Arabidopsis thaliana: one gene and its partner. The protein of the gene in region 1 interacts with the protein of each later gene in a pairwise test. Each region holds a gene or a part of one and is shown on either strand. Other genes may lie near its edges.

Evidence for each region.
Region 2: the proteins of OFP18 (region 1) and CRF9 interact in a two-hybrid assay, tested with the Arabidopsis thaliana proteins (one large-scale study listed by BioGRID).

The regions. Positions count from the first base shown.
Region 1 is NC_003074.8:19,487,742-19,491,857, reverse strand, and holds OFP18 (ovate family protein 18), read left to right. Parts: upstream 1-2,007; 5' UTR 2,008-2,293; coding exon 2,294-3,142; 3' UTR 3,143-3,312; downstream 3,313-4,116. UniProt on the Arabidopsis thaliana protein: Transcriptional repressor that regulates multiple aspects of plant growth and development through the regulation of BEL1-LIKE (BLH) and KNOX TALE (KNAT) homeodomain transcription factors.
Region 2 is NC_003070.9:18,171,708-18,175,244, forward strand, and holds CRF9 (Integrase-type DNA-binding superfamily protein), read left to right. Parts: upstream 1-1,719; coding exon 1,720-2,709; downstream 2,710-3,537. Other genes in the region: AT1G49110 (uncharacterized protein), read left to right, coding at 6-539; BBX17 (B-box type zinc finger protein with CCT domain-containing protein), read right to left, coding at 3,034-3,213, 3,325-3,537.

The DNA of each region.
Region 1 (4,116 bases):
TTCTTCCATTTTATTAGATATGGATAGGTTACGTATTTTCGTGGGTGGATCATATGCAAGTATGGCGTCGACAAAGACCAAAAACAAAGGATGGTTACACACTTACACACGTACACAGTCTAGACTCTAGCGAGAGTCCTGATTTAACGAAAATAGTTATTTGCAAATAAATTTCATCGTCTAACTGCTATGTGATACAAATACAAACCAATAGATTGTACGACTTGGTCATTAATCCCATTGTCTTTCGATACACATGACTGGATCACTACTGGACACAAATCTTGATAAAAATCTTTTTTTGACGAAAACTGCAACATGATCGGTATAGCTGAAACTGTTGACTGTTTCTATCACTATCAGCATATGACTCTTCTGCTGAAATTTAGTAGTTATATGCATGTAACTGCTAAAACAGTGAATAAAAGTGAAAGTATATTAAAAAATTAACATTAGGTTTGTGGGTGACACAAGTCTGACACAGATTTGTCCATGAGGAAATACGTGAAGATAGATATGTAAGCATTTAGACTTTTGTCTCTCTCTTATTTTTGTTGTTGGATTCCTCTCTCGCATTTTATTGCAGTTGTATTTTCACTTATTTTTAATCAGATAAGTGATAATTAATTATAACAGGTTATAGTCAACTAGTTTTGATCAATTTTGGACCTAAATGGTCATTTGTTCAAATCTCTAGTTTCCCCATTTTTTTCTTTCCGTTATTCATTTTTCACACACTTCAAATCTCGAAAATAAATACCAACGTTAAACTATTTGGGTTGGGCTCAGATCAAAATTTGTAACCTAATTTTTTTTGTTGATGTAGATGAATCCTAATTTCTTTTTGATGTAGATCAATCCAAATTTCTTTTAGATATATTCGTATTCAAGCCGTACCGGCCAAGTCGATGGCCACGATGCTTTAACTTTGAAGGTCCTAGACATTAAAGCAGTATCAGATTTGGTAAAGAGATGAGAAAGAATTATTATAAGAATTCGGGAAATGTTTCAGCTGAAGCGACTACCACGGAAATTATAAAACTGTTTAGCATCGACGTCATATCTTTTGATAGTTAGTTGGTTCCTTCGACTGTTCGTTGAGTTTATTATTCTCTTTATATTAATTAGTTCGTGTTATATTTTAAAGTGTAGGATACGTACACGTACATACCTATATATTAATATATGTTTTAAATTCGTTGTTCTCATTTCAATTTACAATAATTAGATCTTCGTACTATATTTAGGTCTAAAACATTACGTTACACTAACACTGAACATTTATTAAAAGGTCTATCTTTTATATAATTTAATAAAAAGACTACCAATCAAAGGTTTGGAATTTGGATGATGGCTTAGTGGTAGTATTAGGGATAAATTATAATATTATGATCATGATAGCTATTTTCGGTAGGTATAGGTATCAAGTTTCAATTAACTACTTTGGCGATATTGTTGAATTCATTATTTTCCAAAAAAAAAAAGATATTGCTGAATTCATTTATTTTGAAGATCGTTTATGTCATGTTGTTGTATCTATCTATATTAACAGTTGCCTGTCAATCTTTAATAGGAACATTAATCAAACATTGATGTTGATTAACTTTGGCAGACACTAGTTCAGTTACGTTCCATATTCAGATATACGAAATTATTTCCATCCATTTTCTAAAGTTGATTTTTGTTTTTTCTGATATTATCAAACAAGGAAACATTTTAAATTTCATATTACAGTTTTATCAATTTCAGATAAAGTTACTTAAATTTACCATAATATGCATGTATACGATCGTGTATTTGATTTGCAAACAGTGACGAATTTGTGTACTACTAACGGAAAACTATCAAATGCATGAAAAAAATAGTTAAGTTTTGAAGTGATTTTATATACTTTAAGGACTCATCCATGTATTAACAATAAATAAATTTAATGTAATATTTTAAGATTTCAAATATATATAGATTTTGGATATTCAAATATCAAAATTGTACTTACAAAAATTGAATGATCCCCAACCAAACAACAATAAATTTGGTGCCAATAATTAAATACACTAACCAAAAAAAGTTTTAATTCAAAAATCAAAATAAATAAAATAAAGTTTCTTTTCTTTTCCCCACCCATCCTTTCGTGCAGCCTCTCCTCTCCTCTCCTTTTCAAAAGCCTTAAAATCTTCCTTCCCTCTCTCACCATTAATTCCATAAATCTCCTATAATTTTGAATCCAACCCCAAAAGAAAAGAGAAATTTACATTCTTGTCTTGTCTTATTTTTTCAGCAATCAAAAAGGAAAATGGTAAGGAAAATGAAACTCCCATTTCTAAACAAGAACACATCATCTTCATCATTTTCTTCAAATTCATCATCTTCTTCCTCTTCGTGGCCATGGCCTTCCTCTCATCAACAAAACCTTAAAACAATATCTTCCAAAGCTTCCTTCATCGTTAACAAACCTAAAGATGTCTACGAACCCGAGCCACCACCGAGAAGCTTCTCCTCCTCCCCCTCCTCCTCCTCCTACTCTTCCTTCTCCTCTACAAGCCATGCTATAGAAAATCCACCAGAGATAGAGTCTATAGAGAATGTGATTAAAGGACTAAAATCATCGAAGAGACTCATCTTTGAACGGAGAGGAACATCGAACTCTATACTCGAAGAAGCTACCAAGAGAGACGATCATGAAGAAGAAGAGGACGGTTTAATGCTCTTGTCCTTGGAGTCAAACGATCCTTACACTGATTTCAAGAACTCAATGGAAAAGATGGTTGAAGTACACGTGCTTCATCATGACTGGATAAGCCTGGAGAAACTTCTCTTTTGGTTCTTGAAAGTCAACGTCAAGGCAAGCCATAGATACATCTTCGCCGCCTTTGTCGATTTGGTCTTAAACTTAGCAGTAGGGCCTTCTAAAGATGTTGCTGGAGAACCTAATTCCGACGTCGTCGTGGAGGATTCTCTTTCATCTTCGTGGCCGGTCTCGTTGTACTCGTCCTCCGATGAGAATTCGTCGACGTCCGTACGATTCTTGCCGGAGACTTCGATAGGCGAGAAGGGTAGAGACGTTTGTTGTTTATCGTCGTTGTTTGAGTTAGAAGAAAAGATTAAAGACAATATTGATCCAAATGATTATGTATCTTCTTAATTTCTTCATTTGATAACCTATGGATACTCAATTCTTCTTTTTTTCGGAATATTATGGAAGTAACATCTATTCCACGTGTACATCTTTTGTAGCACGAGTCATGTGCAGAATATCTTTTAATTTAGTGTAAACTTTTTTCAACCTAAAATAAAAGGCTATTGATCAACAAACACTCTCCGAGAACTCTTTTATTTGATGGGCTGAATAGAAATTATAATAATGGGCTAAGGGCCTTTGGTTTTACAGTTGTTATGTGTTTAGTAGCAAGACATCAAACATTTTATCTAATATTCACCTGTTACCATCCAATGTTAACACTTTACTTTCAGTGTCAGAGTTACAATCAATAAGCTTTCATGCCCATATACCAAAAAACAACCCTTTCCCATTCCAGTAGTGCAGTGCAGTGTGCACGAATGTAACTTCTCCATTTTGCTTAGCAGCTTTGGACAGTGTACTAACCACGTCAGGAAGACGCATTCTCAAATCAAATGCATCAAAGCCTCTGTTACATCAAAGATTACAATATGTGAAGCCCTACGTTTGTGAGTGAGTGTATTCATGGTGAAATTTCTCAATGCATGTACTCGTGAACAGTCTCATATGTGAAAAGGGATGGTGATGGTTCCAAGTATTTAGCAGTAAAAGACAATTTGTGAGAATGGGATGGTGACTTAACTTTCAAAAAATTTCTAGTTTGCCAACAAAAAAATACGTTAATTGATAGCAGTGATTTGCACCCCTCGCCGCTCTTCATAAATCAATTATTGCTTACACTAAAGTGTGCAGAGCTCTCATTTAAAAGTGATTAGAGTAGATAGCCCCAAGAGAATAAGAAAGTATAACACTTTGCTAACCAGAAAAAATTAGGTATTCAAGATTTATTTTCCAGCAGCCATCTAAAGATATCACAATTATAATAGCTAAATCCTAAGACTATTTGATGAACTAACCCAAGCTTTAATCATTTGAGT
Region 2 (3,537 bases), on another chromosome or scaffold:
AATGGATGAAAACAAAAGCCGGTATTGAAGCCGTTGTGGAAGTGCAACGCAGCGAGAAGCTAAAGAGGCGAGCGACATCAAAAGGTAGGACGGCTGCTGAATCGGCTATGATAAGAGCGTTTAACGCTCAATTTGCTGAGTATAGCTCTGAACTAAAGATAGCTCGTGCGGTCATGAAGAAAGAAAGTGATACTGGTGTTCGTCTCCGAGACAAGTACTGGCCAGTTTCTGCATTCGGTGTAGCCATCAATGTTTTGCACGAAGAGGCAGTTCTTGATTTTTGTAGGAAAGAGGGAGTGAAATGCGGTTTGTACAAGTATGTTGAAGGACTGATTGAACGCAAGACGGTGAGTTTTGCTTTACGCGAAGCCGATAATCTTCGGGCTGTTCTCAAGGAAATGGAAAGGTTTGAAGTTCCGGTTTCGTCTATGGATGGAAATTGTCTTGTTGATAATAAGAGGAAAGATATTGGATCTGTTCTTGGTCATGGTGGAGAAACATCATCTAAGAAGAAGAGACGTCTTACTCGTAAGAAGTAGATTTGACTCATTAACTCGTTAATGGGGAAATGTGAAAATGTTAATGGGAAAATGTATAACTCATTAATACTACTCATTATGCTTTTTATTTTGTTTTGTTTCTTTAGTCTTTCTTTTTGTAACGTTTTTGCGTTTTGTTTTTTCTTTTTGTTGTACGGTCTTTTTAAAAGTTTAATCTACTGTTTAAAACAAAAATTTTATGTTTATCGACACACTCAAACTGGAAGGTCTCAACTTAATCGGATCATGTTTATCAAGTTTTGAAATTTCATTTTATACATATAAGATGATAAATATATATACTATGATGTAGTGACTTAAAAAATAATCTAATGATTTGAAAATTAAACTCGTTAATATAACAAAAAAAAAAATCACTACTAGTTTTGATAGAATAAGTGTATTATTTTCTCAGGTTGCTTTTGAATGTTTCTTATGTATCATGTAAACTTTAACTATATAATAAAATCGATTTGCCGTTAAAAAAAAAAAAGTGTGTTATTTTCTCAAAATCATAAGTTGAGGGTTGAGATTAACCTATGAGATTCTGGATAGTCCCAATTTTACGTGTTCTCCGTACTTAGATGGTTGATTTCTCCATCGAAAATAAAAAACTTTTTATTTAATCATTAATGTGTAGTCTACAAATTATTCTCCGAGAAATACAAAAAAATAAAAATTAGAGTGTGATATCAATTGAAGTTTTAGGACCAAAGAAAAAAAGAACTATAATATATCATCAGAGAATTCCCAATTTTCCATTTTTTCCTACTAAAATATTAACTTTCTTTTTCTATCACAAAAAAAAAAAAATGGTAAATTTAGATATGGTAGTTACCGATATCCTCGTTAATATTTACTACAGATTTTACTTTTATGATTATATCTAAACAAAAATTAAAAAGGAAAACAAAACAATTCTCATAAACTATTAATAACGTCTTCTATGTTTCGTCTTCCTTAGCTTTGCCATAAGCTCCTTGAATTTTATTTTTGACACACTCTCCATAACAAGGTACGATGATGAATCTTAACTATGTTTTCTGTTCAAGTTTTTCTCCCATGTTTAGGTTTTTAATCTCTATCTCTATCACCAACTCAAAACACTACATTGTTTTTTTTTTGGTTTTTATTGTAAGATTCTGTTACTTAGTACCGGAGTTTAGTCGGAGAGAGAACAATGATCAGTTTCAGAGAAGAGAACATCGATCTCAACTTGATTAAAACAATTAGTGTAATCTGTAATGATCCAGACGCCACCGATTCCTCTAGCGACGATGAATCTATCTCCGGCAATAATCCTCGCCGTCAGATCAAACCAAAACCACCGAAACGTTACGTCTCAAAGATCTGTGTCCCGACGCTGATCAAAAGGTATGAGAACGTTTCGAATTCTACAGGGAATAAAGCAGCCGGAAACCGGAAAACGTCGTCGGGTTTCAAAGGCGTACGACGGAGGCCGTGGGGGAAATTTGCGGCGGAGATAAGAAATCCGTTTGAGAAGAAGAGAAAGTGGCTTGGAACGTTTCCTACTGAAGAAGAAGCAGCAGAAGCTTACCAAAAGAGTAAAAGAGAGTTTGATGAACGATTGGGTTTAGTTAAACAGGAAAAAGACCTAGTAGATTTGACCAAGCCGTGCGGTGTACGTAAACCAGAAGAGAAGGAAGTTACTGAGAAGTCGAATTGCAAAAAGGTAAATAAGAGAATTGTTACTGATCAGAAGCCATTTGGTTGTGGTTATAACGCTGATCATGAAGAAGAGGGAGTGATTAGTAAAATGTTGGAAGATCCGTTGATGACATCGTCAATTGCTGATATTTTTGGTGATTCGGCTGTTGAAGCAAATGATATTTGGGTGGATTACAATTCAGTGGAATTTATTTCCATTGTAGATGATTTCAAGTTTGATTTTGTGGAGAATGATAGAGTAGGAAAGGAGAAAACATTTGGATTTAAGATTGGGGATCACACTAAAGTTAATCAACATGCCAAAATCGTATCGACCAATGGGGACTTATTCGTCGATGATTTACTTGATTTTGATCCGTTGATAGATGATTTTAAGTTAGAAGATTTTCCTATGGATGATCTTGGATTATTAGGAGATCCAGAGGATGATGATTTTAGTTGGTTTAATGGTACTACTGATTGGATCGATAAGTTTTTATGAATACTTTCTTGACACGGCCAACGGTATTAGTACAAAACTACAAATCTTTGAGTTACAAGTTGTTTGTAATTCGTTTTGGTTTTTGTAACTAACTGCTTATATAAAGAGATTTACCTCATAAGAGAAGCTTTTACTAGTATGAAATTTAAATTCTCAAATTGATTTAAGAATAAAGTTGTAACCATGTCATTGTAGGGATAAATTCAAAAGCTACGAAATATGTTCCACATGAGCTTTTTTGTTCTTTTGATTAGCTTCTGGTTTCTTTGGAGTAGCCTTTTTTTTATTTGGCACAAAGGAGAAGAAACTGAGAGAATCTGTTCCCTAAGAGTCGATGGCTAAAGATCGTCGGACAAATCGACCTTTCATTCTCGGCCTTTTGTCGGCGTTAACCTTTCTAACCTCGTACCTTATCTTCTTCTCGAACAAACGATTCTTCCTTTTATCTCTGTATCTCCAAACTCTAGCTTCTCTCTCACTTCTTACTCTCTTCTCCTCTATCCCCTGCAATCAACAACCATTACAATAAGTTTCTTTGATAGATTGGGTTCAATTTTCTCAATTTGAAACAATATAATATCATTTTTGTAAGAACTCGGAAGATTAGGCGCTTACTGGAGGAACTAGCTGGAAGCTACTTGTGTTGTTTTTTACATCTCTAGGAGATTCTTGTTTATCCCAAGCTGCTATAACATTTTCGTAATTCAGTCTATGCCTTGCATTATTCTCATAACAATCTTCAATTTCTTCTGTCTTTTCTGAAACCGTTATGACATTGTCGTAATCTTTCTTGCAGCTCATCAAATATTGTCCAGGACATGCTTCAGC